2 linked regions of the Styela clava genome follow. Each later gene encodes a partner of the first gene's protein in a complex. Links are inferred from orthologs where the notes say so. Each region holds a gene or a part of one and is shown in the gene's direction. Other genes may lie near its edges. The genes, in order: transportin-3-like and cleavage and polyadenylation specificity factor subunit 6-like.

Region 1 (16,629 bases):
GACAATATGGTGTGACATAAGTTCTTGAAAACCTAGTCCGAGGGACATAGGCAAAACCTCGCTTACATTTTGTGGAACGACAATATGTTTTTGTTCATATACGTAACATTATTCAATTTAATATCGCCCTGACCAGAAAGCATACTTGGTCGTCTCAAGGCGTGGTTTTTCTTTCAACGATGAACGAATGACCGTCGTAACAACGATCCGATTCGATCCTCGAATGATTGGATTTTCTGATACGGTTCAATAATTTGTCCAAACATAATGAAGCAACCATTGTCAGTTGTAAACATCAATTTGATATTGCGCTTACCCGTAAAAATATTTTCCACTTGAGGATTTATCAACAAAACAAGCGCGGGCGAGTCTATGTACATGAAATATCATTGTGCACCATCCCTCATCTCATCATAGACTTTCTACTTATCTTGTAATTAGATTTGACGTTGAAACGTTTCTGAAAAACAGTGTCAAGAATAAGATTTCTGTTGTTAAGGGTGTGTACCCGGGAATATGTGCAATTAATTTACACGGCGATACCAACTTTTCTTCATCCTTAAGCGGTGTGCAGTTTTCGCCATATACAGCATAAATATGTTTCGATATACAACTCTATTTGCAATATTTTACCAGATATTCCATTGCCTGAAGGATGTGTTCGAAAGAAACCACTAGATGCTTTCACATTGTCGCCTGCTTCAATCTCAATGAAGACTTCTCAATCGTTTTTATTAAATCGACGAGGAAAAACTCGGAGAAAAGGTTCACGCAGCTGGGGTTTTGATGCATGAAGACGGAAGCGAACATGTGCCTAAATTTCAAAAAGAGCCAGCCGTGTGGTCAAACAATTAAAGCTCACCAGAATAACCTCCTTCCTGAGCTGAGAAAGCTGAACATAAACTTCATAAATATTCGTAAATCGATGAATTTAAATATGTTGTGACTGTGAGTGATTAGCGAAAAAGATTAATAAATGACCTTTTGAATCTATCTTCTATTTGATATGTGATGTGTTTGCTATGTGGTGATTAAAAAATATACTTTTCCATCGATGTCGTATTTATTTCACAAAAACATCGAAGTTAAGAGAAATATAATTTCATTCAATTAAGGAGCTTCACGGCTTAATTAATGTTGGATATAATCATACAATCTGCATATCCAATGTCGTTTCCCCGGTATATTAGTCGTTGGGCCAAAGTGAATATATAATACAAATAATACAAACGAGGCAACGCTCAGACATTAGACGCCATCTTGTGCCTATTGTTCTCGGCTATCTAACACGGCGCCTTATGAGAAGTCCACACACAATTATTGAAACATACCTATTATTGGACACGTAGTGGACATAACGATCGTTTCAATATTATGTTGTTGTTGTTGTTGTTGTTCTTGACACGTTTTTAAAAAGTCGCTTTTCTCTTCGAATACTGGACCAATTGCTTTGAAATTTTCAGTGGTTAAAGATAAAAATTTTCTCCAGAAGGCTATTACTTTTTTTTTTGCTATGACGTCATCAAAATTATGTGACTCTACGTGTCCATATATTTGAGCATAGCTCTTTTGTTTTCACTAATATTTTAGGTATACAATTTTGAAGGTCGCATTTTGGAGGAGAATCTTAGCCGAACTCGATGATATATTTTCATGTTTGCTAAATTCCAATTTTAGGTACATCAAATTGCCTTTGAAGACAAGAATACCGGTTTCGAGACCGAGTGGCTTCCGAAGTAAGTTGGCCATTCTACTCGTCATAATTAACCATTTGACAATGGCGTTCTTTATGATGTCAGAGATTAGAAGTTGTATTTATTCGTCGAAATTACCGGCCGGCTCAACTTCGTTTCAAGGGCCGTTTCTATTTTCGCATTAACATTTTTCGTCTGCCAAGCTCCATAATGCCCTACTGCTCAGCTCCAGACTGTGCTAGAGGAACAAATGCCATGGTAGGATTGTTGCGGAGACATGTTAGTTGTTACAGCGTCAAATTGGCGTATCACTATGAAATCTTCGAAAAAATGGTTCTACGTTGTGTTTGTGGTCAAATTTAACGCATTAGATAGTTTTTTTCATTTTCAATTGCGTTATATATTTAGATAGCATCTGGCTTAAAGGTCAAAATCCACCCTTTCGGCTTCATTCTAGCCCTTATAACAGCTGACTTATTCGATTCGGTCCAACAACAGGACGAAAATTTCCCATAAGACTCCATTGTTTCGCGTTTCCCGAATATGGCACAAGATGGCGTCCATGAACGTGTTTGTGTGTAACATTAGACAAGTTGGTTGCCTATTACTCTACTTAATTTCGAATATAAATTAATCGCAAAAGTTTTAGCTTTGAGAATGAAAGCAGTACTGCCTGATATAATAAATCATGACCAAACAGGATTTATTGAAGGAAGAACGATTCATGAAAATTTATTAACAATAAGAGATGACATTTTTTGGGCGAATAAACAAAACCAACCGTTAATAATTTTTAGTATAGACCAAGAAAAGGCTTACGATACTGTTGATAGAGTTTTGTTACTAAGAATATTAAAAAAAGTTAATTTTGGTAATTATTTCATTCGATGGGTCAATACCCTATTTAACAACACCAATGCAAAAATAATAACAAATGGATTTTTATCAAAGCAATTTAGTATAACACGAGGAGTTAGACAAGGTTGCCCCCTTGCCCCACTTTTATATATTATAATGTCCGAATTGTTAGCATCCAGCATCAGATACAATAGAGCAATAATAGGTTTTCAAAATTGTGCAGGAGATAGGGAGAAATATAAAGGTTTTGCGGATGACACTATTGTCACAGTAGAAAGTTTATCCTCCATAGATGAAGTATTAAAATTAATGGCAGAATTTGAAAAAGCTACAGGCTTGAGAATAAATATTCCAAAATGCAACATATTGTTGTGTGGGTCAGCAAAACGGCTAAACTTAGGACCTTCATACAAGGGTATTCAAATTCAAGAAGAGCTTAAAATTCTAGGAGCTTATATAGGAAACAATGTTGTATCAAGAGATAAAAACTGGTTGAAAATCATTAACTCAATTCAAAATGTAGTAAATTTATGGCAGGGACGGAAGTTATCAATGATAGGAAAAATTATTATTGTCAAATCATTAATGTTATCCAAAGTGTGGCACATAGCCAATTTTGAAATTATGCCAGGAAACTTCGTTCGAAAATTAGAATCTATAATATGGAAATTCATTTGGAATAATAAAACTCAACTAGTGTCAAGACAAATTACATCTAATATTTTCACATCCGGAGGTTTGAATATGTTAGACCTCAGGAGCCAAATAAAAGCTCTTCAGGTCAAATGGATTTTTAAAATCCTCAAAAACGAGAGTAGGCCATGGAGTAAAAGAGCCAATTATTTTATTAATAATTATTGTAATATTTTGTCCAAAGATAATTTGGAATGTCTGTATTTGAAAGTCCAATTTGACAAAGTAACTACCATACCTAATTTTTATACCGCCATTATCAATTCATTCAAGGATATTAAGTTGGAGAGAAATCATCCCTTTAATATTACAGAGGTTAAAAATGAAATTTTATGGTACAATCCCTTAATCTCAGAGCAAAATTTTAGATTTTCGTCCAAATGGATCCAAGCAAAAGTCATTTCTGTGGCTGATATTGTGGATAACACTGTGCATTATTTAACAAATAGAATATATTCTATTGATCAAATTGGGAATCACAGAAGAAAGCTCTTTTATTTAAATAGATGCTCTAGTGAAATCCAACAGGTTTGGGGCAATCTACCTATTAGCTGGAAAGAAATTCTATCGAGAGATCATAATTTACCCGAAAACAGACTTGGAATCAATAGATATATGAACTCCAATTTATCCACCAAAAAAATAAGTAGTTTATTGAAAATAAGGAAAATCACAGAAATTGCTACACGGCATGATATGTACATTACACAAAAATTAAATTTGAATATTCCTATAGACTGGTCAAATATTTGGCAATATAAACTCTCAAATAAATATAAAATTCTAAGTTGGAAAATTTTACATAATGGTTTACCTACGGGGGACAAATTAAAATATTGGTTTGATGATGAGAATGGACAATGTGTATTTTGTAATGAAAATGAAGAAACCTGTATACATTTATTTTGCTATTGTGATTGGATAATTGACTTTTGGCAGTGGTGCAATGTAAGGGAAATCAATTGTGACATAATTATTGCTAATAATATTCATAGTGAAGTGGTATCATTAATCATTCAATGTGGAAAATCAGCCATATGGGAGTTCAGGAATAGTGTCAAATATGATGATGTATTCCAAATGCAATGTAACTTGCGAGCTATTTTTAAATGCAAACTCCTGGGTGTAATCAGATTAATGTCAGATTTTGATAGGCAAAGAATATTATCTGACGAAATCGTTGATGATGTACTACAAAAATCGATAATGAGTTGAAGAAATTGAGATTGTCTTGATTTAGGAGGTTTGACTATATAAATGATTGCATAACATAGACAGATTAAATGAAAATCTAGTAGCATGATAGGTTTTTGAATTTTCTGTCTAATTTTTTGAAACCTTCTCTTCTTTTCCATGCTAATATAAAATAATTAATTATATATGTACATAAAAATGCTATATTTATGATGAAATATGGACAATCTTCAATACAAACGGATATATGACGAAAAATGGATCATCATCACTGGGTTTGATATGTATTAATAATTGTTTATCCAACTGTTTTAATTTTCCTCAATTACCGTAATTGGAACGCAATACATGCAATTGGTTTCAAAAAAAAAAAAAAAATAAATAAAATTATATAAAACAAAAACTGAAAATTTAATTGGCTTCAAAAACATAATTAAATAATTCCATATTGACTCTGGAATTGAATTTGGCAAAAAAAAAAAAAAAAAAAAAAAAAAAATGACTTGATGGTGAAAAACTTTGGGTAAATCGGAAGATTTTCCGGTATTGGATATTGGATAATATTTGTCTCATGATTCTCTAACAGTCTTATGGCAGAATGGTTTTACATACTGCTGCACTACGTTATCGGTACGGTACTGGATTTACATACGGACACGGTACCTATTTCAGAACTACCGGTACCGGTACCGTACTGTATTTATCCAGGAAAGACGAAAGCCGACTTGCTTCAGCATTACCGTATAAGGAGGCGCACAGGCTTGATCACCACATTGAAAAGCACTGTTGTGTTACACATACACGTCTCGCATTTTAATTTAAAAGGTAGACTAGAAGTTTATTGCATTCAATTATTTACTTCAATTTTCTGTTTTTGTCAAATTGCTTTCAAAGTACCAGTCCGGTACTGCCCGATTGTAAATCACGTTTTTCTGTGTTTGTTTTTTTTGGTGGGCGGGCACGTACATTCAGACATTGTACGCTTTTAATTTTTTTAAGTTATGCCCGTCTCCCAGGTGTCTTTGCATTTTGTTTTATCTGTTTACTTTTTGTATTGTTCATGTCAGAGAACCAAAATAAATGATTGATTGATTGATTGACATAGACTATGCTCTTGGCACTTCGAAAAAAAAAAGAAAATGGGATTTATTGCCAATAAAAAAGACAGAAAATAAAAATATCAGTCACAGTGATTAGCCTAAGTCAGCGTTTCCCAACCTTTTTTGGTCGCGGACTAATTTCTTACTGGCGAAAACCTTTGCGGACTCAAGGTGCGTTTATTGCAACCGTAGCTACTCTGTGTGAATAGCCAATAAAGTTATGGTGTTCTCCGTTTTATTTTTAGTATTTTGTTTGCCGATTTTCAATTTAGAGAATTTGGGTTGCCACCATTGACACCTACTAAAAAAAAAAATATTCTTTGTTGTTCGAACTCGCGAGAAACACCACGCGTGTCAGCGTGTGGCCGTGTTTTCGTCGAAAATTTGTTAGTGAGTTGTGAAATCCAATCGCTTTGACCAGTCGCGTCACTTGGTGACCAAATTTTCGAATAGTGAATTGCTATTGTAATAGTTGAATACTCGAATATATGCCCAGCCATACTCAGTAACTAGTAATAATTGACTTGATCAATGTTATGTGAATAAACTTGCTTTCTATGTTTTATGTGAATTTTAACGTAAATCGTAACTTGGCTGATAATTAACTTTCGCAAAAACGTTTGTGGCCTGCAGTGAATTGCTGGCTCGTTGCGGACTCATTCAAACGCCTCGCGGACTCATTTGAGACCACGGACTCGGGTTGGGAAACACTGGCCCAAGTGAATATCTAATGATTGCACTTGAGTCTAATAGTTGTATTTGAAAATAATAAATTGGGATCTAGTATAGTTTAGTACCACGTGTACTTCCAGTTGGGCTGGCTCAACAATTTTTGCATATGTCAATTCTAACTCTCACCTGAGACCTGACTATGTCATCCAAAAGTTACCGGTTACGTCACTACGACGTCACAATCACACATAGAGCTTGTCAAAGTAGAGCTACATTCTCCCGAAACGGTATTTGCGTGCCAATAACGAACTCGCTAACTCCTGCGATCCCTCTCATATCGATATCGTTGCGACGAGAAAACGAGGGAAATAGGTTGCTCGATTTCGAGTGATCGACTGCGCGTTTTGGACGACCATCCGTACACTTTGGAGAGCTTTATTTTGCTACTCACTGGGACTTCGTAGTGACGACATTTTTTGGTGACGTATTCAGGTGGGGGTTAGGATTGACATACGCAAAAATTTTTGAGCCAGCCCAACTGGAAGTACGTGTGGTACTAAACTATACCAGACCCATAAATTGTTACTGGTAGGTAGGTACTTAGAAAAATAAAGAAAATTGGAATTATGACCAATGAAAAAGACAGGTAGCTGACCAATAGCATCTGAATATATTTAAAAATTGTGAAACACTGGAACAAAAATACTCAAAATTGAACTTTGTAAAAAATAAGACAGAAATAAGTCCTTACCTAAATTAATACTGTAATACTCCAATAAAAGTGAGTTCAATATAAGGTACCGCATTGCACAATTTATCCTATTTAATTTCAGTACAGCAGTATTTGTAAGTTGTAACAAATTATTGTGTCAATTATGAATTGGAAGGAGAGAGTACTCATTATTCACAAGTATAAATTTCACTATATCTTGCTCGCGCAGGTCGGCTGTGTCTGCACATGGTTTTGCTTTGAGCAAGTTACATAAAATCGGATAAATGCATTGGTAGTTTGTTTTCTCTAAATCCATATTTTTACTTTAATGGGTGTCATTTTGCATGTTGCTTTCTGCTCATTAGAATTACATGATGTTTGGAGCAAAAACAAAAATTTGACAAAAGTAAACTAACTTAGTCAAGTAATGTTTTCAAATTGATCCAAGATGATTTTTTAATTTGTTTTAAGTATATTGATAAGAGATGGTAACCTGATAGCTGATAGCGTTATTTTTCGATTGTTTCATATGAAATTAACATGAATGATAATACTATTTGCAGCTTTTATTATTATATTATGACCAGCACTGTATTCTGGCTATAAGTTTACCGATTTATAGTATTTCAAGGGGTCAGACTTTGCATTAGTTCTATAGTCCAAGCTCTGAAAACCTGAGGACGATTTGTTTACGATCATCAGCACCAGTCTGGCATTTTACTATGGCTGATAATGCATTGTCACAAAATGCCAGGTCTGTTCTCAATGCAGTAAATACTTTGTATCAAAATCCCAATGTTCAAGAAAAAGAAAAAGCTTCATTTTGGCTTGGAGAGTTTCAGAGATCGGTATGTTATTTACTAGTAAAAATTTTCAGTTATAATATTACTATGCAACTTTATTTTTGGGGTTCTCATGTTGTTAATTTCGATATTCCATTTATTACAATTTTATGCTATGGGAAAGGAGACTCCTGGATGACACAGTGAAGAGAATAGCATTGTGTTTCATTTGGCCATTACTGTCAAATTCATTTGTGACTGGATTTCTTGGTAGGCATTTTTTTATGATGCCACCACGACTAAACCAATTTGCTGTCAACGGACCATTTTGCCTAACTACCTGACAAGTGATGATATATCAAAACCATTTTAGGTGTTTGCATGGGAGACAGCAGATCAATTATTACATCTAAAGCAAGATGTTGAATCAACATATTTTGCAGCACAAACAATGAGAACAAAGGTATGTATTTTGCATATATATTACTGAATAAATTTCAGAATGTTGAATTGTACTGATTTGAGTTTAAGTTGAATCAATTGTGCTAAAATATGCTGTTTCTGATTGAAAAATGGGATAATACGATGAAATTAGTTAAAGCTTGTACCTTATTTCATAGTCTGCTCCGTTCTCATATATTAATTAATGGTCGGCCATGGAAAAGTTTTTATCATGCTCACATGGACTTGATTAGTAGATGAACCGACTAAGAGTTTTTCATCAGCTATCTCCATCCCAATGCCAAGCTTCCACATATAGATTTTGAGAAGTGGTTCTATTTGCTTTATATGCATGAGATGATAGCAAAATAAACATATTTTTGGCATGAAAAAATTACACATCATGGTTAAGTGTATAAACCAGCAACGATATATTGCTCAATATCTGGCGTATATGCTTCAGTATGTTTAGTTGTTCATCACTGCATAATAAACCTTTAGGATTTCCCTTCGATTCAATGCAAACATTCACTGATCTCTAGTTTCATTATGTGCCTTGTTTTTTTACAACCATTTTGGGTGACAATTTTGCGAATGTAGTTTTTGTTTTGAAGGCTTGTTAAAGATATCAGAGAGTAATTTGTGGATCGTCTTTTAACAGAGGCAACTTGTACGAAACTTTATTAACTAAAAAATTATCAACCATTTCAGATTTTATATTCTTTTCGTGAACTACCTCCTGATTCACATGAAGGATTGAAGCAATCATTATTAACACATATAGAACAATTATGTGGATATTCTCCAGCTTTGACGACACAGGTTGAAGTTTTATCCGCTATACAGATTTTAAAATATATCCTTAACGCTTTAACCAGCTATACGTTTTTAAAAATTTCAGTTTTTTAGTCAGTTTTTCAATGACCGAACTTGAACTTGTAAAAGATTTAAGCACAATTATGTGGACGATAAACATGCTACAGGTGAAATACTGTCACATAAACACAGATTTGTTGATTATGAGCTTTCCGATTAGTTTCAAGTTTTTTCAAAAAAATCATAATATGAAGAAAATTGAGTGAAGCTTAAAATATAACAATGAAAGTGATAGTAATAATTGTGTTATGGATGATATGCCCATCTTAATCTGATGTAAATTTAAAAGAAATTGGTTCAGTTTATAAGTATCATATTCATTTATTTTTTTTATTTTCAGCTTGCATTAGCTGTTTGTGATTTAGCACTGCAGATGCCACAGTGGAAAGTGCCAGCGTTAACATTTATTGAGAAGTAAGAAAATCTTTTTTGTATTTTTGTATTGTGTAGTGAAACTTTATGTTGATTCTGACAATAAACTTTTATAGATACAGCAAAGATATTCAAGCGTTGCCATATTTACTTGAGATTCTCACTGTTTTACCAGAAGAGGTAAGTCTTGTTAAATTTTACTGACTTATATTAAAATGCAAATAAAAAATAAAAATCCAATAAAGTTAATTTAATTTGTGTGTCTTTATAATTTGTATAAAACATTTTATTGCATTCCAAATTTGTATTTCGGACATGTCATGACATGACCTTATTCACAAGTTTCTAAATGCGGCCTATGTTAGTTAGTTAGTCCTAGACTACTAGTATATTTGACTATGGCAAAGAATTTGTTGTAATATTCGCATATTTTGAGCAGGTAAACAGTCGCCATTTACGTCTTGGTGCAAATAGACGAACAGATATTATAGAAGATATGGAGAATTCGGCGCCAATGGTTCTCGAAGTCATCCAAGCGTGTTTGAGTAAGTGCCACACCTAAATTTGATTCAGTTTTATATCATTTCAAGCTTTAAATAATGAGGAAATTATTTTTATTTACTTTGAATTTTTCAGTTAAGGCATTGGCTAATGCATTGGTTTTGGAAGGGTCACCATGATTTAACCAGTTTTGTTTTTGTTTTTGCCATACAATTGATTCATGTGCTATGCCTTGTTAAGAGAAAAAGCATGCTTAAAGATATGTCTTTTCAGCGAGAGTGCAAGATGAACGCATCCTTTCAAAAATATTCAAATGTCTGGGAAGTTGGTTTTATCTTGGTGTGTTCCCTGGCAATCATGCTGCAAGGTCCAATATATTGGATGCACCATTCCAGATTTTGGTAAGTACTAAATTTAAATTGTATTTGATGGCTCTTTGATTTTGAATATTTTATAGCCTATAGGTAATGTTCAGGGGAAGCATGCATTGTAATATTTCATCTAGATATTAATAATTATTTCCAAGCCATGACCTAAGTACTCTAATATGATCTTTTACATGGAATATTAAATATATATTCTAAATTTGGTCATGTTTAATAACAATGAACACATAGAAGTCAATGTATATTTAATATGTTTAAAGTTAGGAATGCTTGAAAGTCTGGGTGGAAAATAGTTTTATTTATTATATATTCAATTGAACAGATAGATAATTTTCGAATGAATTCTAATGGCCAGTAATTAATTAATTAGAATATCTTAATTTTTATTCAGGGAACTTTATCGTCATCTTCATCACTTCATGAGGCGGCAACAGACTGTGTTTGCTCTGCATTGTACGCTGCAGAGGATGTTAGCAGAAATCAAGATTTAGTTCAGCAATTATTTACAAAAACTCTTGGACTTAAGCAAGCATACATTGATGCGAATGCTAATGAAGATATAGATAAGTAAGCCTTACTTGTTTTGTTTATTTGATCATAATAGAAATTGTGGCCGACTTGCAAGTTGCAATTACCAAATTGTAACTATTTCATCAACTTTTACAACACAACTAATATGGCCTGCCAACCAGTTCAAGCTCACCTGAACTATTACCTTATATACATCTGTTTTCAATTTGCTAGTGTAGCATAAAATAAAAATGTATGATTTAATTTATCCGGAAGTGTTATAAACTTTTTCTCTGAATACTGGTTTGGCGTAAAATTAACATTTGTTTGGGGTACCAATACCATCATGATAGGCGGTTGGCACATTGTGCTTAGCTGTAGGAACATGCTTTCCAGTAATTACCACCACACCTGCACAAGGTTAATTATGTGTGATAGGATTGTTGGACTTGTTGTCATCGTAGGGTGTGTTGATGTAACCCCTACTTGAGCGGAAGCAGTTGTTTTATCATATGATTGAGTTGTTTTACCAACTTTCCTCTCTTGGATAAAAATGAAATCTTATCTTAAATCAGTAGCGGAATATAATTCATCCATACCGATGTCATACTTTTATTTTTCCTTGTCTGACAAAATCCATATCCTTATTTTAATAAGTTCTAACAACTCCACTGTCTACAGCCAAATTCTTCATGCATGGTTAATATTGCTTGAACATTCTTGTATTTGTAATATCTGAATTAATTTTGCTTTCTCTATATAATAAAAACTCTAGCATTTTAACTTTAAGATAAATTTTTCATTTATGCTCATTGCCTGTCAAGTATTCTCTTTCCATTGCTACTTTCACTATGATTCTTTTCAATTATATTTGTATGTTATTATCTCCATATTTCATTTTTTTTAGATGTTTAAATTTGTGTCGAATATTTACTGAACTTGCCGAATCATTATTAGAAATTTTGGTCAACAGTCCTGGAGAAGGATTGGGAGATTTGGAAATCCTTGATATTCTATTGATGTGTGTCGGACATTGCCAATATGAGGTTTGTAGATCATAAAATATAACTTGCTATGTATATGCGACGAAATAACCTTCTATGGAGGTCATATAGAAGTTAGGACCATATTATATCAATCCCTTGTCGAAAAATAAAGAAAATTACGATTTACAACTAACCATACGGGTTTTGTATGTGATCTATGCTGGGTGAGTGGTGGTTAGAGTATTGTACCTGGACTATGTTGCCACTGCAGGTTGAATTACCCTGTTTCAAACCCCATGCCCAACACGTCACCCACCACGGCGCTTCAAAATGTGTGTACTAATATGGAGGTAACTAATTTTGTCTGCTTTCTTTACACCAAGTTGTGTAAAGGGACATAATCCATGGACAGGGGGTACATTCACTTGGCTAATACAGACAGTCGCCAAACTCGTAAGTCGTAATAGTATTTAAAATAAGGAAAATCGGAATAAAATTATGGCCTAACCCTAACCTGGTACACGCACTACGGGAGCTTCGTAGAGCTCGAATTCAACTGTATGTTATATTACTAGCATTGCCTTTATTCATTTTGTTTTGTTCAGGTCGCAGACATCACGTTCAACTACTGGTATAGATTATCTGAAGCTTTGTATGCATTAGATCATAAAGTTGTTCGTGAAATATATAGTTCATATGCCGAAGGATTAATTTTTGCACTTGTTAGACATTGTCAAATGGAACCAGATCATGTAAGTGAATGTAAAATTTGAGATTCTGGCATTCTGCCAAACTAGAATTTCTCCGAATATTAAAAGAAACTCTTTGAAGATCCCAAGATCGCCAATCTCGTTAGAAATCACCATGATACATGATTTCTTTTTCATGTATAATCAGTGTTGTGTGCTGTGTCAACTTTTCAGGGGTTTGATATTTCAATGTATTCAAGTGTTTCATTGTATTTGAAATTTTCTAAATTAAACAAATCTGCACAGACATGTTTTATATTGAATTATAAAGTTGGTACAAATTGAAATTTCTATTTTATTTGTATACTTCTATTATTTAATATTTGAAAACATCCAGATATATAACTATCAATAATATTTATTAGGTTCATGAACTTACATTTAGGACACAATTCTGGATTCAGCAGATGATTTTGCAGATTTCAGAAATAATTCAGCTGATTTAGTAAAGGATGTTGTATATTTGGTTGGACCAACTGAATGTTTTATCGGATTATTCAAAATGTTAAGCGGAGAAATACAAACACCCGATGGTACGAAACAAGGTGTTGTAACGTGGGATATCACAGAATCTGTTCTGTTTATGATGACGGCAATAGCGAAGAATGTAAAAGCGTAAGTCGAATAATACTGTTATGGTTTTCTTGGACTAATAATTTTTGATTTTATGCAGTCTAAAATGACACTGGAAACACTTGATTGCTTTTTTTGTGTTCTGTGGCTAGTTCATATGAAATGTTCAAAAAAATAGGAAGGTAGACAAGAATACTTGACATAGTTTATTGAAACTAGATAAGTTTATTTATCATTAAACTTTTGTGAAAGCATAGAATAGTTATTCCTTTTATTTTCAGCACTGAGGTCACTGTCACACCACAAGTATTACAAGCAATATTTTCTCTTCCACCATCCACACATATTGCAGTTCGGCATACAAGTATTCAATTAGTTGGTGAACTTTCAACTTGGATCGAAAAACATCCTGATTTACTGAGTATGATGTTTAATGTTATTTTCTATTATGAATGACTGTACTATCCAGATTGAATCAGAGGCTTATTTTGGTGACTCTAGTTAAATAATTTAAGATTAGAATTGAGTGAGGAACAAAAATCAGTTTCAAACAACAGAAACTACTATAATGCAATTATGTGCTGTTATTAACTTTTTATAGGGTATCACACATAGACTTCTTAAAAAACTTTTTATGAGCATCCAACGACTGCGTAAGGCAGACATGGGCAAACTACAGCCCGTGGGCCAAAACCGGCTTGATGGGTAATTCTGGCCCGCCTAATGCTACCACAACCAAGCAATAACTAAATTTTAACGTCTTAGTTAAAAATAACTCAAGGAATTTGTAGAAATTGCGATTTAATCTACCGTAGTTTCGGCACAAGGCTTATTGTTTTTCACCTTTGTAACACTGTAAATATTGTTCATAAAATGTAACTCTTACGTCACACTTTCATGGCCCACCAGTCTAGATGGGCAAAATTCCTGGCCCCTGCTCCAAAAACCTTGCCCACCCCCGGCGTAGGGGCCTATGGACCACAATATTTCCTGTGGATCAGAGATCTCTAACCTAGATGGTGGCATATTCAAGTTCAGTACTATATTCACTATTGCTAAGCCATTGATTTGATTTCTCTTTTTAATCTCATGACCTACAACACCATTTTATAGATCATACATTACAATACTTGACAAATGCATTACAAACCAAAGAACTTTCATCTGTTGCTGCAACATCTGTTCAATATTTATGTGAAGTTTGTCAATCGCAAATGATTCAACATTATACTGCATTGATCCAGTTAGTTCAGGTATGCGCTTCGTAATTCATCAATTATTAAAGGTTAATAATCATAATGCGGTAGAGTGTTGTAGATAGCTAGATAGAATTGAATTTTTCATGCAAGTAGATGTTATAGAGATCACTATCCGAAAATATTTAAGAATCTATAAATGTGAAAAAAATTAAAATGCTTGCGAAATGACATAAATTTTCATTTCTATGCAATATACAGTTACAATCGGTTATAATTGAATTCTATAACAAAATTTTTGAATACCAAACAATTGTATTGCATATCCAAGGTATCTAGCAATTGTCAAACAATCATTATTATTTCGAATGCCTAGTTATGGTAATTGCCAATACATTAGTTCATTTTTATTGTATTTTTTGTATATATCATCACCGTAGAGATTTCAAGTTTTATATATATAGCTTAGTTTCTCGATTAACATATGCCTACCTTTAATTTATTGATGAGCCCTGGCCTAAACAGTTTGAATCGTTTAATCACGAAGCCGAACAGCTGAAGCTTTCTCTTTTTGCTAGCTCAAAGACTTGTTCGCAGTGTTAGTATGATCTCTATTGAAAATGACATAATGATTCTATGGGATTCTGAATTAAGAATATCAGACTATCCATCACCTAATGAGATGTTTCACTCCAAGCAAGGCTTTAAATCTATTTTATTTATAAACATCATAAAATATATATTAATTGTATACAGAAATATGCAAAGCATTGAAATATATGTTATATAAATATAACACACAGATTAGAAGAAAAATATGGAACATGAATACCAATATAATATGTTGAAACAAAACATTGGGTCGAATTTAACTCTTGCTATTTTAATATTCTACTGTAATAATCTATAAATAAGTTGTAATATACCCGGCAATAGAATTCTACCGATTACACTCGGTATTTTTAAAGGGCTGATGACCCACATTAACAATTTTTCTAAAATTAAAAGCACACCCTTTGTAAAAATTGGATGCATTAAATCATGTTGCAGGTCATGGCAATGTTTTAAATCTTTTTTGTTTTTCTTTGTTGTGTGCATGTTCTCTAGGTTGCAGATGATTTGCAAGTGTCATCAGACGCTACATTAGGATTACTAAAAGGTAGAATCTCATCAAATAATTTGCTAATGAATAGAGCTGTTGTAGTTTTGTTAGTTTTAATGTTGCTGTGAATTCTCAAGTAGTCTATATGCCGCAATTCATAACTTAAGTTATTAGGGAATTCATATGCTGAATATATCATAAAATTAATTTTTGCTGCTAAATTGAATCCGTAGGATAGGATAAGATTACCGGTAAATATTTATCCTGGGGGAGAGGAAAGAGGATAGTCAAGATAGCCTAGTCATATGGCCTGCCACGGCCTCTCGTCCGTTTACCAGTCCATGTTGGGTATGGGGTTAGTTAGCCAGTTATTTGTTTCATATGCATGGATTTTATGTTGAGGGCTGAAACCGACCAGCGTTGATGCAAACCACCCCACGGCGGCGAGGAATCCAGTAATTTTCTAGCACATAACTATGCCCCTTGTAATTCGAACCTGCGAACCCACTGAGACTGAGAGGTGTTGTTGCGAGCGTATTTCTAACACATATTTCCAACATTATCTTGATAATATTTAACCTGTCATAACGATATGGTTCTAACAGATTTGAAAATGCTGTTATTTTGAAAACATAAAAAAATTATTATACTTTCGATGCAGCAATGTCCAAAATAAATCTAATTTCGAATAGCGTATTTTAATATTAAATGATGTTGAATATTTTCATTTTAAAAATATAATTCTGTGCTATTGAAGTCTGACGTTCTGACTAAAATCAGATTTATTCAACTGCTGATGAATGTATAAAAACAATCCAAACAACTTTTTTCTTACTTTTCACAAAAATATATCTCTACAAATATGCAATGTATCGTGTATGTTTATTATTGTACACCTCCCAATTAAGAGTATATTCTATATTTAAAAATATTATTTCAGAATTTATTCGGAATTGGGAATCATTGGATTATGACCATTTTTGCTTTGTAAATCTATAGGTTCTGTCAGTATTATTGTCGAATTTTAATTAAACTATAGTAAAATATCCCTTAATTTGAGAAGGTTTGAATAAATAACAAAATTTGATTGTGAACGATAGGTCAAGTGTAGGTAACATCACCGGTTTTAAACATCTTTCATTGGTAATCCAATTCTTAATAATAGTTTAATAGTGTTTTAGATCTCTGCTTAGCAGTTATCATTCTTTTCAAAATAATCCAATTTTCAACTT
Region 2 (17,267 bases), on another chromosome or scaffold:
TGTAGCAGATCAATTTTCGAGGGTGAGGGCAACATTTGCTGATATTCTTTCTTCTATCGCAGTCTTCCGTTTGATACGATTTTTATATCGCCGAGCTTTGGCATTTCTAAACTTGGGAGGATCATGTGAAGAGGCATGGGATACGGTCAAAACAGACTCTGATGTTATACCACAGAAGAAGAAATCAAGATCGTGGCCCATACTTCTTTTCATGTCTGTTGTTATAGGAGGCCCTTACTTGATTTGGAAATTATTGAGTGGAACAGGCAATGTACAAAAGCCTCAGACACCATGGGCAAGCGGATTATCAGATCATGTTGTTGCTAGAGTAGAATATGATTTTGAAGCTGATAATGATGATGAACTAACTGTGAAAGTTGGCGACCTGTTAAACCTTGCACCAAAAGACCAACAACCACATATACAGAATTGGCTTATGGCATCTTTAGATGGTACAAATGTAGGGATGGTTCCTGCAACTTATGTTAAGGTATTAGGCCGTCGAAAGGGAAGACAACCAGAATCAGCTGAGAATGGCCAACCTGAAGCTTCGGCACCACCTACATGACAAACTACTCGTAAACTCTCAATCTTTGTAATATGCAAATCACCCGTTTCAATAAAAATGCAATTTAAAGTAAATTTTTTTTCATTGTATAATTTCATGTTAAAGTGTCTTCATTACGAAGATATTCTCCAATATCCGCTTGATGAAAAGCAATGATTGACATAGGATCCGCATGCCTGCATTCGGCTGTCGATTTTGCTGCTACACCAAATCCCTATAAAAGAAAGGCGATTACATGAAAAATCTTTAAACAATTAGTTCATGAGATATCCCAACAAAAATTGTCAATTTAGATGTTTTTTGAATAGCCTGCAATATAAAATACATAATGGATACAAATTCAGGAAAGCAAGAGACAAGTCTTTTTATTACACGTTATACCTTTACTACTTACCAAAGGTATATCATTCATTGAATATAACACTATGCCTTGATATTTAGGAGTTCCTTCAGTAATTCTTCCTAATCCTGATTTTAATATGTGATTTCCATATAAAAATGATTGTTCTGCACCTGGTTTCACCCAAACTTTGAACTGAAAAAGTAATTGACATTATTTGATATTCTCAAACAATGATGGTTATTATTGCATTTGCACTTGTGTCAATTCTAATTATGCGGCATGTATGTATTGGTGTATGGACTATTAATCAACTACAATATTATTTTACATTTCTTTTTATGTTCAACTTCAATTATTTTGCAATGTATGACTGTTGTGTAAATATTCTTCAAATAATAAGAACAGGCTTCATTATTCACAATACAGATGAAGTAATAAGCATTGTAGGAAATCAAGAGATGTATTGTGGCGTGGGTACTACACTCCTTGGAACAATGGGCCACAAAAATGTCAGGGCAATTGAGCTGAATCTAAATTCACACAATGGGAACAGAGTATCACAAGTGTTATGGATGTTTCTCCGGCCCTTGACCCCAGAAAAATTCTATATAACTTAGTAATTATCGCAAAATTTTGGATGCTTATTTTGTGAGTGTTTTGGAGAGTTGACACTTAGAAACTGATTTACATGATCAAACCCATTATTTTTATTAAAATATACAACCGCTTGCTCGGTTTAGCCTAGTCAATTGCAGCTTTTCCTGGACTAATTTTTGATTATTGCACAATCAAATCAAAAATTCCAATTGATACGTCATTGATGACTTTTGCTCCATGATACCTGCTTTTATCTCATAATCTTACCTTTGCATAAGGCGCTAAATAATCAAGTGCAGTGACATGGAGCCTAAATTTCTTTGTTTTTGTAAATTTTCCAAAGCACACGCCAAAGCTGATTAAATTTTCTCTGCAAACGTTAGTCGCTCTTTTCATAATTTCTTCAGATACATAATATACTCGATCTCTGTGAAGTCTGAAGCAGTATACTCCATCTGGACGATCAATCAATAATTTGATGTTCTCCCCAATACTGAAACAATTAAAAATTTAAATGTCACATTTTTCGGAAGAATTGGGGTCTAACGATGTATTTGTCATAAGGGCTTGAATGTCGCCAAAAGAAAATGTGATGTAAAAAATAAAAATAGCCTAAATTTTTTTAAAAGTCTGTCTCCCACAGAACGCTATACCCTATTTGGCATGAGATAAACCTGCTTAGTTGAAAAATTTTGTTCAACTAAACGCATCTGTCAAGAACTTCATTTCACCCCAAACAGACAATTTTTTTTTTAAACAAACACACACATTACTTTTTTGTTTGGCGTTATTTTGAAGAGTTTCGGCATTTACTTAGCTAGACCCTAGAATTGGAATTGAGATCTTCAATAGCCAGCTAAAATGCAATGTCTTTTATTGAGTGAAAATTCGAGCCACTCTCTGATTATGTCTTTGCTTGAAAGTATATTTAGAAGGTTACGAGTCGCAAATGCCATTGCATCGGTCGTCAAAATTATCTCATCAGAGTCATTACCCGCAAGTTATTTGGAAAGTGGTATTCAAGTTTTATGTGAAATTATTTAAAAAAAATTGTAGTAGAAGCAGTAGAAATAAAGTATCATAAAAGTTTCAGAGCAATAAAATTCTGTTGGCCATGATAAAAAAGAATGCAAACATGTAAGATGTCACAGTTATCATGATAGCTTAAGTAAATGTATAATGGTATTTAAGAGAGTTACAGCAAGAACTGAGAGTACCGGTGTTTGCCATTCTTTCTTCTGTATTCATATAACTTTTGGAATAAGGTTGATATTGTTGCTTTGAGTAAACTTGCATAAAATGGGCTTCAAACATACAGGGTGACCCTACCAACACCTCGCCCCCACCCAGAAAAAAAAACAGAACCCGTATATTTTCTTTTTCGAACTTTTTTTCATTGTTTACGCTTGAAGTTCTGTTTGTGCATGTATTGTACCTAACAGAATGACATATCGCAATGACTGAGTAAGAAAAAATCATGTTGCTCTTTTGAAAAACGGTAACCCTGAAATTACGGGCCCAGTGAATTAAACGCTGTGACTGCTTATAGTGCCAAACAAAATTGTGACGAGAAAAAAACATCCAAACTTTTATTTTTTCTAGTAGAAATATGTCTCACAGGGAACACTATATCCTTTTTGCCATAGGAAATACCTGCTTAGTTGAAATTGGGTAGGTTTGATTTTAACTAAATGCGTCTATGGCGAAAATTTCATTCTGCGCCTGACAGACTTTTATTTAATTATTAATAAAAAAACATAAAAATTTAGGATAGAATAATTTTTACATATTTATCCCATGGGAGAGGAATAAGACAGCTTAGCCATATGGCAAACCACGGCCTCTTGTCCGGTTACCATTCCATGTCGGGTATGGGATTAGTTAGTTATTTGTTTTCGGAAGCATGTACTTGATGGTGGAGGAAGCCGTGAACCACGCTACGGAGGCGAGAAGTCCAGCAATCCTCTCGCACATAACTATCCCTGCATGGGATTCGAACCCACGCAGAGTTATCCAGTAATCAGAGGTGCGGTGGCGAGGATATTAGGATAGGATTTACATATTTATCCCGGAGGGAAGGAAAGCCAATATTAAAGCTTTTAAATCATATGGCGAACCACGGCCTCTCGTCTGGTTACCAGTCCAGGTCGGGTATGGGATTAGTTAGCCAGCTATTTGTTTTCGGAAGCATGGACTGGATGGTGGAGGATTGCCACCGCATCTCCGATTACCTCGCGTGGGTTCGCAGGCTTCCTCCACCATCAAGTCCATGCTTCCGAAAACAAATAACTGGCTAGCTAACTAATCGCATACCCGACCTGGACTGGTAACCGGACGAGAGGCCGTGGAGAGAGCGTATTCCTAACGCTTAGCAAGATGAGCCACACCACCCAATCGTCAAAATCGACTGTTCTACTGACTCAATACAGTAGTAATATAGGCCTACCACAGAAACAGAAAAATATTTCATGTTCCCGTTTTATTGTTTTAGTGAACTACCGGTACCGGTACCGGTATAGCCTAGTCTAATAGTCCACTCATGCTACACAAAACCTTCCGACCCTAACAATTCAGCAATACCAAGAATTAGAACATCATATATATAAATATCTTTATATGTACTTACTATTTTGCAAGTTTTTCAAACAACGTTTTTGTCTCATCTTCTGTTAAAGGACGCATAGTCAGTTTATTATTTGTCAGAGACGTTGAAACCGGGGCAAGACGTGAAGCTGTGCACGAAAATCAGAAAATATCACTGCCGCTACTCGCGAAACGTGTTTGTAGTAAATAGCTGGCTTCATTAGAATCTACTAAAATACTAAATCACGTATCACGTGGTCCGCTTTTTATAATATTTTGGTAAAGAGCTGATTTATGCGGGTTGCTTTTTTGCTTATTGTCGGGATGCCTTCGGTCCGTAATTTATTATCCCAGACGGTCAGCTAAAGTTTTTGTCTTGAAACGAAATCGGCTGTTTGTCTGCTTGTGGAGAATTATTTTCTGGAGCCATATATAATTGTTCAATTTGGTTTAGTTCAGTTTAATGAGAAATAATTTTGAATATGACGGCGATAAAACACGCCTTGCAAAGGGATTTATTCACCCCAAATGATGAAAGATTGTTGGGCGTTGTTCACGTTGCTAAAACGGGAAAGAAAAAGAAGTCATCTTTTTTATGTGCTTCAGGTTAGTAATCTATGCTATATGTATAAGGTATAGTATCCAAATGATATAAGGTGTTTTCGTGAAAGTTTTTTGTGTGTTTAGATCCTGAATACCACTTTTTGCTATAGAGTTTTGTCCTTTTGTCATTTTATTTACAAATACTGAAATTGCTAAATTACTGAAATTATGAATACCCGCTGCACTCTAATTCACAAGGCAAGCCTCTCCTTTTATGGTCACAAGTTTATTTTGATTCTTAAAAGTCTGAAAAAGCTAACGAAGACTAGTTTTCCAGCTTTTTGATTGTACATTTTAGTTAAACCACTGGCACGGCCGCAAGGAATACACTCACCACCGGTACCTCTGATTACTCTGCATGGATTCGCAGGCTCAAATCCCATGCGGGGATAGTTATGTGCGAGAGGATTGCTGGACTCCTCGCCACCGTACGGTGGTTCATGTAACCCCTGGTCGGTTACGGCTGCCTCCACCATCAAGTCCATGCTTCCGAAAACAAATAACCAACTATTCCCATGCCTGACATGAAATGGCAACCAGACGAGAGGCCGTGGTTCGCCATATGGTTAAGCCTTCTTATCGCCTTTCCTCCCCTGGGATAAATATGTAAATCCCATCCTATTTTTCTATCAATCCAACTGAAGTTAATCATGCAATATTGAGCAATGTAATCATTGTAAACAGAGTATTGCTGATACGAACTAGTCAAAAAACATTACAGCATTAATTGAGAGTGAAACAAACATGACAAGTTTGATCGGGCTTCAAGCTTGGGGACCATTGTGATATTACATGTATATAATTTACGTAAAAAGTTAATATAAGTCAAGCTAATGTTTTTTACTTCCATGCATTCTTTAGCTAATATTCAGAGTGGAATAATGACAGAATGGGTTGTCAAGGACACACTTGACAATGCCACGACAGTCAAACTGCAGGTTCAGAGGTTGGAATACTGTGTTGCACAATCATAATATGTACTAATTGAGTATGATTCCTTTCACTATTCAAGACCATGTGTCTGAACCTTTCGATTAGTAATTTGATTTGTCAGTTGGTTCATCGTGCTTGAATCATGATTGCCATGCCACTGCTCATCACTCAGAGCCTTCATGGGGATAATTATGCAAGAGCAGATTTCTGACTGGTCTGTTGTTACTTTCTCCGCCATCCAAAAATAATTCCAGGTAGAGTAGGATTGGCCATATTGCTCATTGTTCTGTAAGAAACGATTGCTTACAAGTTATGCATGTGCCTTTAGAAGCAGTATATATAAAATTCTTATGGCCTGACGGTGTGGCACTTCATGCTGAGCCGAGGCATTGAGAAAACGCTTGCTACTGCACATCCGATTACCCTGCTTGGATTCGCAGTTTCGAATTCCGTGTGGGATTATCATGTGCGACGGGATTGTGGACTCTGCGCCACCTGGTTCACAGCTTCCTCGACCATGCATATAACTGTCCAACTAATCCCACACTCGAGGCCCTGATTCGGCATAGGATTAAGCTGTCCTATTGGCTTTCTCCTCCCCCAGGATAAATATGTAAATCTTATATATTGCTTGTAAATGAGGATCAAATAAATGAACCCTCTATGAGAGGTGATTGAAGAAATAACTAATTTTATTACATTTTACAATATTCAGGAAAATTTTAGTATTTCAGAATACTTGATTGCCAGAATTGTACTCAGATATGGGATTTCTAATAATTGTGTGTCCTGTTTCCACAAATTATTTATCAGTTTGAAATGTAATGTGTGACGCCCAACCTCTGATACTGCTTATTCCCTATGCTAAATGTGATTCTAATCGTTATATGTTTTTGTGGCTTTCAACACTATTAATGCTTAAAACAAATTGTTCATATACTTAGTATTGTCTGCACACAGATTCATGTCCTAACACTGGCTGCTGTACGGTGATTGTTTTTTAGTAAGTAGAGATGTTTACTTTCTGATTGTGCCTACAGATAGTTGTTATTATAAGTTTAATTTGTAAAAGTTGGCGACATTGGACGATAAATATTTCTTTGTTAAGCATTATTCGAACACTGCCCCATTGTGACAGACAGGAATAACGAGTGTGTCGCAATTTATAGTATGATGTGGTGATTATTTGTACACGGCCCGCACGCTTCTGGGGATATGTATATTTGGCCCACTAGTACATCAAGTTTACCTACCACTGGTCTAACTTCTTCAGGCTAATTGAAATGTAACCTGAACCTAAAAGCGGAATGACCAAACCAAATGAACTATGATTTTCTGTGATATTCAGCATAACATGACTCTTTTACCGAAAATTGTTAGGAACCACCGGTCCATCACTACCAAATGCCTTCAAGTGTTGATATTTTAATACCTGTATAATTTCAATAAAGAATAATTAAAAGCATGATTACACAACACACTTGCACGAATTTGAAACGAAATGTAAAAGGAAAAATAAATAATTGATAAAAAGATAGGGGCAAGACTTAAAATTGACTTACGGTAGGCAAGTATGTATAAAATGGTCACACAAATTCAGGGAAACTTCTGTTGACTCAATAAAAAATTGACATAGCATAGTAAAATTTTGTAAAAGCTAAAATGAACGCTCTTAGATCTACTGTACAACAGAATTTATGATTGTGTATAAAACAGGTTGATACTAATCATAACCCATCGTGTGCTTTAAAGTAAATCCTTGCCAGTTGCAGATAACTTCATTGTATAAGACTAAGAGGTTCGCTGGATTGCCTGGCATTGAAACATGGCAATTTCCTCACTCTTCATGCTTGTTACTCATCTTCAGTACATTGTCGTTTTGATGGAAGGCCTATAGATAATAATATAATACTTTATGGATGAGATAGCATACCATTCTGAATAATCTCTTAGTGATGTAGACTGAATAATACCAGACTAGCAATGCTGGGTATGTTATGCAGGATGTCTCACATCTACGACCTATGGTAATCAATACTATGTGTGAACTCATCTTTTTGTGCACATAAGCAACCTGAGTCTAGCAAAACATTTGATATATCCATCCATACCTACTCTATGCATTGATTTTAATAGGTTTGATAATTTCATGTCAAAGTTTTCAAGGCAGGCAGATACGAAATAATCTCTGACACACTCAAATATTATTATCCAAGTACATTGCGGTGCATAATTCGGGGGAACAAATTTCAACGATAGTTCAACCAGAGGCTTCAAAAGAAATTGAACAATCATGCACTGGTTGTAACAAACTTATAAAAAAAAAGAATATGTACCTTCTTCAATTTTAACTATATGGGCATCATGTGGAGGATAAATCTGTGTCTGACTTCTTTTTTTATAATCCATGTTATTGAATTTCTTTCTTATCGCCCGATGTAGTGTAGGGGAGTATCTTAATCCATTTTGACAAAGAACCGGGTACTCAGAGCATAGGTTAGTAACTGTACACTTTACTTCGTATTGGTCAGGATTTCGTCCGAGAACATTTTTGAGAATAGTTGAAATATCTCTCACTAATTCTTGGAATGCTTTTCTGTTCGTATTATTTAAGATGTCATATCCCTTTGACATATATTCCCGTAGCGATACGTTTAAAGGAAAAGGCCAAGTTATACCATTAGGGTAAGGCAAAGGAGATGCATTTTTAGAAGCAAGATAGCTTTTCTTCTGGTTTTGGAAGGTCATTGTACTAGAGGTTTCAGGACCATCCGATACCTCATCATCAGGATTGGAATTATCATGCAGGTCAATGGGACTTTGTGATGTCACATGGAGAGAATTCCAGTCTTTTAAAGCTGAGTAAAGCATTGTCCAACCATCCTCTCCTTCACTGCGAAGGCCTGGGTATTCAACACATAACATGGCTGCTGTATATCGTAAATCACCTTCTGATATATTTGGTCCAAGACTGTTTTTCAAAGTGTTATGAACTTCAGCCACAAGGCTGTTAAACACAGAATCATTTCGCTTAATACTGTTAATGCCCACTAAAGACTCTTTGAGAATTTGGCTTAGTGGGAAAGGTGATGTTATATTTCCAGGATAGGGAATGAAAAATGTATTAGGACTTTTAGGGGACTTAGGTACGATCTTATTATGTATTGGTGAGGAAGGCCCAAATATAGATGAATTCGAGGATTCGGCTTCATCATCGGAAGATATTGGAACAAGACCCTCGGGGGTTTGTGCATTTTTACGAAAGTAATTTGAAAACATATTCGGAGATGAAACTGAAGTAACTTTCTTAATGATGCACGGATCTCTTTCTTCTTGTATATTTTCATTAAGAATAGTCTTCGTTGTTCTTGCTTCCTACAAAAAAAAAATTTATTTTTTTGAGTGAGTGTATTGTCACCTTTCATGATGCATATCTATATTGAAAAATATCATAATATAAAATTTATTTATGTTTCACAGCAGAATTCAATTTCCTCAATAAACTAAAATTGTTAAATCCAAGTAGAACAAGAAGATTAAGATAAATAAGCATTCTAGAAGCCCTGATGCCATACCTGTAATTTAGGAGGACTTCTCTTGAATGCTTTAAAAAATAACCACAATTCTTTTCTGATTCCAAAGCGAAATCCTCTGAATTCCTCATTCACATCTTCTCTAGTTAGTTGATCGATGTCATCCATTTGGAATTCAGCATCTTAGAAAAAAAGGTAGTTTGAAGTAGGAACTTAGGGAAATACCGTATTTTCAGGCTTATTGGGTGAAAATTACGGTAATTTTAGTATGACAAAAAATCAATATTTTGATATTGAAAGTACCTGTATATCATTATTGCGTTTATAAAAAACTTTTTCTGTTTTATAATATCAATCCAACCACCAAAGTAGGTAGCACATAATAACCATCATTTGGAAAATGTGAACCTACCTTCTATTGCCTTCACAATATCAGAGGTAAATTGTGTTGATGCTTTAGCTATCATCTCTGACAGGTTTGCAGACATTTTAACGAGTTTTGATTAAGAGTTTGAAAGCTGTTAAAGTAAAAGCGTTGTGTCATTTGATGAAATTGTTGATTTAAAAAAATGTTATCATTGTTAATTTTCAAAATACTCAATTTAACCCCAACTGTATTTAATGACATAGACTACTCAAAATATGGTCATGGGCTTTTAATATCCACATGTTTTTTAATAGAACTAGTAAGCTCTTAAATATCTTCCCAAAAACCATCCTAACCTGACAAGCTGAGCAGTAACAAGTGAATAATGAGATTTTCATATTTATTCCTGTGAGAGGAAAGTTGATTAATCATAGGCGGATATTATGAACCGGCCTTTCGCCCGATTACGAGTTCCATTTGGGGTATGGACTCTTTCAGTCCCATACCAATCAGCCGATGCTGCATGACACATACATATATCAGTAACTTCCTAAGTTGTTAGCAAAGACAGAAATTCGGTCTTTTAGAAGTGCTTCAACGTACTTATCAGTATATTTGACAACCATCGCACCACTGGTACCCTTAATACTCCACCGTAGTCATTTATTCGACAGTTAGGACGCAATATTCCGCTTCCATTTAGTAAACACAACCCCCATATACTGTTAAAGCATAGGACGTCTGTGTTTACAACGGGGTCGAACTAATTAATCACGTGCTTGTTCCGCCCGAAGTGCTTCTGTTTCACGACGCTCCGCTAACGCGATATTTCGCAGAATTACGCTACAAATTGCAACTTGCTTGTTTTTTTATATTGCAATATTCAAATGCAATTTTACAACCTAGTTTTGATTAAACTACAGTACCGGTTAGTATATTACGTTCTAAGCTGAGAGATATGTTGAAAATGACCCCCGATTGGATGAAATATTTCATACAATGGCGACTAAATAGTTTAAAACTATGTGCTTGATTGTCACTGCTAGGCATTGGCTTTCACAGCATGATATACTGAGGTGACAAATTATGCTATTCTTTTAATTAAAATGGGTAAAGATCAAACGAAATACGGCGCCTTTTCCCGCGATTAGCAGGCAATCAAGGCTCGCAGTTTATCTGCCGAACAGCATTGTGGGAACCTTTTTTCTCTCTGTCTAGCGTGCGTCGCGCTAGCGCTATCGCCATTTTCAGCGTGTATTTTTGTGTGGCTTAGTTGCGCGCGCGTTTGTGATTGTGATTTTGTAGTTTTACTTTTGTCAGTGTCATTTTGTTCATGTCTTGAATTTATTGTATATTAAGGTCGATTTATTTAGCGATATGACTGACGGTGTTGATATAGATCTTTATGCAGACGTTGACCACGAATTTGCTCAGGACGACGGACTGTATACCCAGGGCAACGTGGATTTGTATGATGATATGTTGCAACCGTCGAGCAGAGCGACCATCCATTCTAACGGCATGCACAGCGTTCAACATGGAAGCGATAAGACCCAGGGGGATATGAAGTTTAATTACCAGGGCAAAAAGGTGTCCATTTATGTTGGAAATTTAACTTGGTGGACTACTGACAAAGATCTGCAAGATGAAATCAGTGCTTTGGGTGTCAATGATTTAATTGAAATAAAATTTCATGAAAACAGGGCAAATGGCCAGTCAAAGGGTTTTGCAATTGTGCATCTTGCTTCTGAGTCTTCATCTAGAATAGTTATGGATAAGTTGCCAGGGAAAGAGTTACATGGCCAAACTCCTGTTGTTACACCATGTAATCGCCAAAGTTTAAATCAATTTGAACAACAGTCCAAAGCACAATCTGGAAATAGTGGTGGTCCGCCACCACAAAAGCCGGCATCACCACCGCCACTCCAACTGCCACCAAGGCCTTCTCTTTCTGTGAGCTCTTTCAATGTTGTTCATCAAGCACCACCAGCTCTGGCTGTTGCAAGTTTAGGACCTCCTGCCTCAACAGCACCGACATCAGCTCTTTTTATGCCTCCGCGCAATCGTCTGGTCCTTCCATTCCCTCCTCCAGCAGCTGCAGGTAACAGACCACCTGCTATTTTTATTCCACCAACTAGCGTAGCCATTGCTCCACCTTCTTCGATTCCCCCTCCTGGAATGACACTGCCACCTACTCTAATGCCACCCAGAGTGGCACTGCCACCAGGTATGCCAGGACCGCCGCCTCCAGGCTTACCGACACTTATTCGTGGCCCTGGTGGTATCCTAATTGATCCAAGAATTCCACCTCCACGACCAATGATGCCACCAATATCTCCAAATCAGCCACCACCTGCCGTAAGGCCACCACATATTGGTGCACCCCCATTAGGGCCTCCCCCAGGGTTCCCACCCCCACCGGTACAAATTAACCCCTTGATTCCACCTCCTGCTGCAGAATTGCCACCAGCTCAAGAGACATACAGACAGGAGCGCTCACAATCGCCGCCATTATCAGATACTGAAGTGGAAGAAATAATGAATAGGAATAGAGCAGTTTCAAGTAGCGCAATTTCACGAGCTGTTTCCGATGCAAGCGCTGGTGATTATGGAAGTGCAATTGAAACTTTAGTCACTGCCATATCTTTGATAAAACAATCTAAAGTTGCTACAGATGAAAGAGCGAAAGTATTGATTGGATCATTACAAGATTGCCTACATGGCGTGGAAGAGAAATCATTTGGATCTGGATCGATAAGAAAAAGAGATCGATCGAGGGATAGAGATCGAGAAGAAAGACCAAGACATCGGGAGTCGAAGTCGAGGAGACGAGACAGAGACAGAGATCGTGACAGAGACAGATCCCGAAGCAGAGAGAGATATGACGATCGAGAATACAGAGAAAGAAGTCGAGAACGAGACAGCGGAGGGTATTCATCATCACGTCACTCGGATCGTCACCGACGTTGAAATGAATTACATTACAAAAACTGGATGCTTTATTGCATTGTACAGAAAACAATAGTTGTTGCTTTTAGCACCAAATCTGAAATGGTCGGTTTCGAGAATGTAAAGTGGATGCTGATGAACTATGTCTACAAGTCATTGATACAATTCCACATTTTTCAATGATTAATTGTGTATAAATTGATACTTCATTACTGTTGGAATGTATCTTAATAAAATTCAAAATGGTTTTATGATTGGTTTCTATTTATCCTATTATACAATTGCAAGGGGGTTATTCATTTTACTGTCTCATTTTATCTAGCATATTTTCATGTCATTATGTCGGTACGTCTTTGAAATAGGGTCTTTCTCAGTGCGATATGTCAACAGTTGTGGGTTATTAGAAGGGTTAGTTTAAGTTGGGGCTAATCATGAAATGTGTATATAAGGATTCAGAGTCTTATCAATTTTAATAGTATATATAATTTCGGGAATTCATCATGCAATGGTTAAAAGTGAAAGTGCTTTGTTCAAAAATGGTGTAAAATTGTCGATTATGTCATTTATTTATTTTCGCATGGCATATATGTGGCGTGATTCCATGATGGTATCAATCATTGAAGAATGCTGCCAAAAATTGTAACACTGTGGATTTTTAAGGTTGGTAATTTTTTATGCAATCATTTAAGTGCAACTTTTGCCTCTGTTTTTATTTATGCAATATTTTTGTGTCTATTCTGTACTGTTCTGGGTATGTCATTTTCGGCCAGTGTCCACTCTTTGACACTTGGCTCGAAATGTGGAACCCAAATATATTTTTTTCCTTTCTGAATAATTGCCATTATCGGAATTTTTAATAATTTAATATGATGTGGTGCAAAATTTCTCAACCTTTTTTTTTTCAATTTCCGAACGCTGCTTGACCTCTTCTTCATACAGTTAACAGGATAATACAGTTTGAATGAATTGAAATGTTTTAAAGGTGTCAATGATGCACATTTTTTTAGTGGGAAAATTCTTGCACAATAATCAATATTAGGAATTCTGATGATGTCATTTATTGGTTAAATTACCGTTTTAAGATACTATACTTTATAAATAACATTTCTAAAGTCATTTCCAAAATCCTCAACACCATTATTTGGGTTGGTGGTCAAGGAAGACTTTCAAAAGTGTAATGGTGCTTGTATCATTTACTCCTGAAATCGACCCTCAATTACTTTTGAATATTGTAAAATAGCAGCTGTAATTTCAAAATTCAAATTAGTTCACTTTATTTCGTTCAGGTAGGCTAATTCATTGGTCGAGAAGGTGATGGTGTAGTGATGAGTGTAAATAGAAAAATTGTATTTTTTCTTTGTATGAATTATTTATATCTTCAAAATATCTGATTACCAGTAAGAGAACTTGTCTATTATTTATGAATGTTGGCAGATTAATTGGCTGCCTTTTCTTTAATAATAATTTCATTTTCAGAATTCTCTTTTCAAATGCGGTTTTCTGTATTTGTATAGGCAAGAGTATAGTAGTGCTCTTATGGTAGTAACGTTCATTTAGATCATGTATTTTTGATTCACCACTAAAAAGGATTTTGTTTGGTGCTAGCTTACTTATTTTTGTGCACCATGAGTTGCGTCCTTGGTTTTGAGACACTGTTGACCCTGTTGACCTAGATTTAAACCCCAGATCTATAGACATCACATACTGGGTATATATATGGTTTGTGGCAATTTTGATTGCTCACATTTGAGACGTCGTTTCATGAACTAATAATACTCAAATCTGGTGATACTGAATTCCTAACATATATCATATTTTCCTGCTAATAAGCTGATTTTTTGGACCCAATTTTTTTGTCTGATTTTCTTGGATTGACTTGTTGCACTGATGGCCTTGACTGTTTTTTTTCTCTCGAACCGGCTTATTATAAACTTCGGGCCAGAAAATACTGGAAACTCACAAACAGTGGATAAAAGTACCAGTGAGGCGGTAACACATTTATAAGCCTCTGCTTATTGGGTGGTAATACTAATATGTTATAAATTGGCTTCAGCACATACGCCGTGTCATCTTATTTGCTGGAAAATATGTATTTGTATGTCTAGTTGCGAGTTATTATTGCAGAGTGGCTGACGGGATAGGTTTTATACTTTTAATTTCCATCACATTTATATCACTGCCAGCATGAAACTTCTTTTAGAAAGTAGGCCTATTTAACAATTTGTAGGCACTTTTTTTTGTATGGTAATTATTCAGAGTAGAAGCTTGATCATGATATTTTCCATATTTTACTCGGATGAAATCTTGAGAATTATAGATTTTTTGCAGTCAAAATCAAAGTATTTCGGTCTTTGGTTTTGTGTGTCTATTAGTGTGAATCGTTAATTCATTTTTTGAAAATGATTTCCAATGTTAGCCCAAGACAAAAATTTAATCCAAACGAAATTCAATCGAAATTAGGAGTCTTTTAAATTTTATTATTTACGTAATGTGATATATACTTGTTTCCGGGTGGGTTTTTCGGACACCATTTTATGTCAGCAAATATTCGTGCAGTTCGTATCAAAATTCTGAAGCAGATATATTGCAATATAGCACTAACATATAATACAGTTTTCACTAGTTTCTATGTATCTGTAAAATAGGAATTGTTCCAGCAAATTAACTTTCATGCATGTGCTCTATTCCATCTAAAAGTGGCCATAGTTCCAGCTGATTTATGATTTTATGTTATTATTGTTAATTAATATTATAGCTCGACCGATATCGAATTTTGAAGCCGATATCGCCAACTGGTGGCTGATAACCGATATCACAATGCCGATATTATTAAAAATCATATTTTGAGCCACGCTCTTATGATGCACCTTGTGAGTTTGTAGTTTCATTTTGATATTTGTTATCATGGCAGTAACACTTTTATTTAACTAACTTTAGTTAATGCTCGAACAAATGTTTTTTCTGTAACTTTTCTTGCTACTTCAATATCAGACTAGCTATTTCCAGGAAAATGAATTGTTAATCAGACGTTTTTACATATAACTATGGATATATGTCAAGGGTGATAAAAAATTATAGCGTGATATATTTTAAAGTGAATCGTGATAATGATCTTTCGATATTGTGATAGCCTATGTGCAGTTACATGTGAAATTTTTAATAACTTTGTTTCCAGAGACTCTCAATACCTTATTTAGTCAATAATAATGGATGAAGTTTTTATTTTGTAATTTTCAGCAAAATGATAAACAACCATCAATATAGACAAAACTGTTACCCCAGAAATTCAAAATTGATTTGGGGAGGTCACAAATTCGGAACTGACATTATTGCTTTGAGCTACCTGTACCATGTTTCCATGATCACTAACTCACCAGCTTCCAATCGATTCTATTTATAGAACCACCGTTTAATACTGTTACTAAATTTCCCTTTTTCTCATTGTGTACTCTCTCAAATATGTCACTTTATAAAAGTCATTGTTACTCCAGATAATAACTTTTCAGTTATGACCATGCATGAAATGGCTAATCATAAGACACTGGGAATTAGGAGAGACACCTTTATAACGCAAAATGAGAGCGAGAGAAATATTGGCAAACCAGTTACGCAGGGCCGTTGCAGCACGCAGCCCGGCGCTTGCCGAGCATGGCCGATATATATCGGCGGTTTACGTCCGATATGATATATCGGCAAACACGCAATATTGGCCCGATATATCGGTTGGCCGATATATCAGTCGAGCTCTAATTAATATATTTTTATTAAACCAACTTGGTAATATATTGTCTACCTGTAGATATTGCTTTCATTCTTTCTCTTCCTGAGAACTTTGAAGTTGAAATTTTCAGAATTAAATTTTTAGTCCAGTTCACCCGTAGTGAGCGTGTTATAGCCAGGACTGGGAGCTAGGTTCCAGCTCCATCGTGACTCTACCTTCGCAACTTATTGCTTCAGCTTCGTAGTCATAATGAGTTTTTTGGTATAACGATGGTATGCGACATTATCGCAGTTGCGCAGAATCGGAACTCAAAACTATTATGATACAAGGGTTTTGAATTTTAAAATTAAATCCTGAATACACAAATTTACTATTTCAAATTAATATTAGAAATTAAAATTAAACAAAAAATGATAAGCTGAAAAAGTTAAATTGCATTATTTGTGTCAAGTAATAAAAAATTCATGCATAGGAAAAAATAGATTGTTAATTATCTGGAGCCACTAAAATTTTTGGTAGCTGAAGCTCTATCCAGTATAGTAAGCTTGTCTCCACCCCTCAATATAATGTTACAACTCCAGCTTCCAGCCCTGGTTATAACGAAGGATTTGGATGTACCGGTACATGGGACCATAAAGGGAATTCCAGTAAAACAACTTCGATACAAATAGCTTAACCATTTTACTACTGAAAATTTTCAGTAAAATGACTAGATAATATAATTTTTTGCATGAGCTGTTTTGTAATATTGGTACATCATTGTTAATATTAGTAATTGCAGCTTTTTTGGCATAAAAATTATAGTAGATGCTAATGCGGTGGTTCTCAACCTTAACAGTATTGCCCTATTCATGTCAAAACTGTATCCATGTCATCATTGTTAATATTAGTAATTGCAGCTTTTTTGGCATAAAAATTATAGTAGATGCTAATGCGGTGGTTCTCAACCTTAACAGTATTGCCCTATTCATGTGTCGTTAACTAAATATATTCATGTCCATTGAGCTGACATACCTATAAAAAAGTATGTGTCATCATTTTGATGCAAAAGACTTCGGAAACATTAAATT

What was found.
Region 2: the proteins of transportin-3-like (region 1) and cleavage and polyadenylation specificity factor subunit 6-like are in contact, whole or in part, in a crystal structure (PDB 6GX9), measured with the Homo sapiens proteins. The link is inferred for Styela clava from reciprocal best matches to the Homo sapiens genes TNPO3 and CPSF6. Residues at the interface, in NP_036602.1 of Homo sapiens: Arg620, Asn656, Arg657, Glu660, Arg661, Arg664, Arg667, Phe668, Arg671, Ser698, Cys699, Tyr702, Ile706, Asp709, Asp747, Asp750, Asp751, Arg754, Arg758, Gln761, Cys793, Arg797; in NP_008938.2 of Homo sapiens: Tyr521, Arg522, Glu523, Arg524, Ser525, Glu527, Arg528.

The regions. Positions count from the first base shown.
Region 1 is NC_135255.1:3,145,671-3,162,299, forward strand, and holds the start of transportin-3-like, read left to right. Parts: upstream 1-7,477; 5' UTR 7,478-7,645; coding exon 7,646-7,771; intron 7,772-8,078; coding exon 8,079-8,168; intron 8,169-8,857; coding exon 8,858-8,968; intron 8,969-9,362; coding exon 9,363-9,436; intron 9,437-9,510; coding exon 9,511-9,574; intron 9,575-9,833; coding exon 9,834-9,939; intron 9,940-10,168; coding exon 10,169-10,296; intron 10,297-10,672; coding exon 10,673-10,848; intron 10,849-11,698; coding exon 11,699-11,837; intron 11,838-12,382; coding exon 12,383-12,529; intron 12,530-12,911; coding exon 12,912-13,141; intron 13,142-13,380; coding exon 13,381-13,520; intron 13,521-14,212; coding exon 14,213-14,352; intron 14,353-15,402; coding exon 15,403-15,454; intron 15,455-16,629. UniProt on the Homo sapiens protein: Importin, which transports target proteins into the nucleus. Specifically mediates the nuclear import of splicing factor serine/arginine (SR) proteins, such as RBM4, SFRS1 and SFRS2, by recognizing phosphorylated SR domains.
Region 2 is NC_135261.1:10,511,143-10,528,409, forward strand, and holds the start of cleavage and polyadenylation specificity factor subunit 6-like, read left to right. Parts: upstream 1-10,850; 5' UTR 10,851-10,904; coding exon 10,905-12,497; 3' UTR 12,498-17,267. Other genes in the region: peroxisomal membrane protein PEX13-like, read left to right, coding at 1-568; 60S ribosome subunit biogenesis protein NIP7 homolog, read right to left, coding at 663-782, 963-1,103, 1,776-2,001, 4,135-4,190; exocyst complex component 1-like, read left to right, coding at 4,574-4,697; uncharacterized protein LOC120329417, read right to left, coding at 7,481-7,518, 7,964-9,002, 9,203-9,342, 9,573-9,648. UniProt on the Homo sapiens protein: Component of the cleavage factor Im (CFIm) complex that functions as an activator of the pre-mRNA 3'-end cleavage and polyadenylation processing required for the maturation of pre-mRNA into functional mRNAs.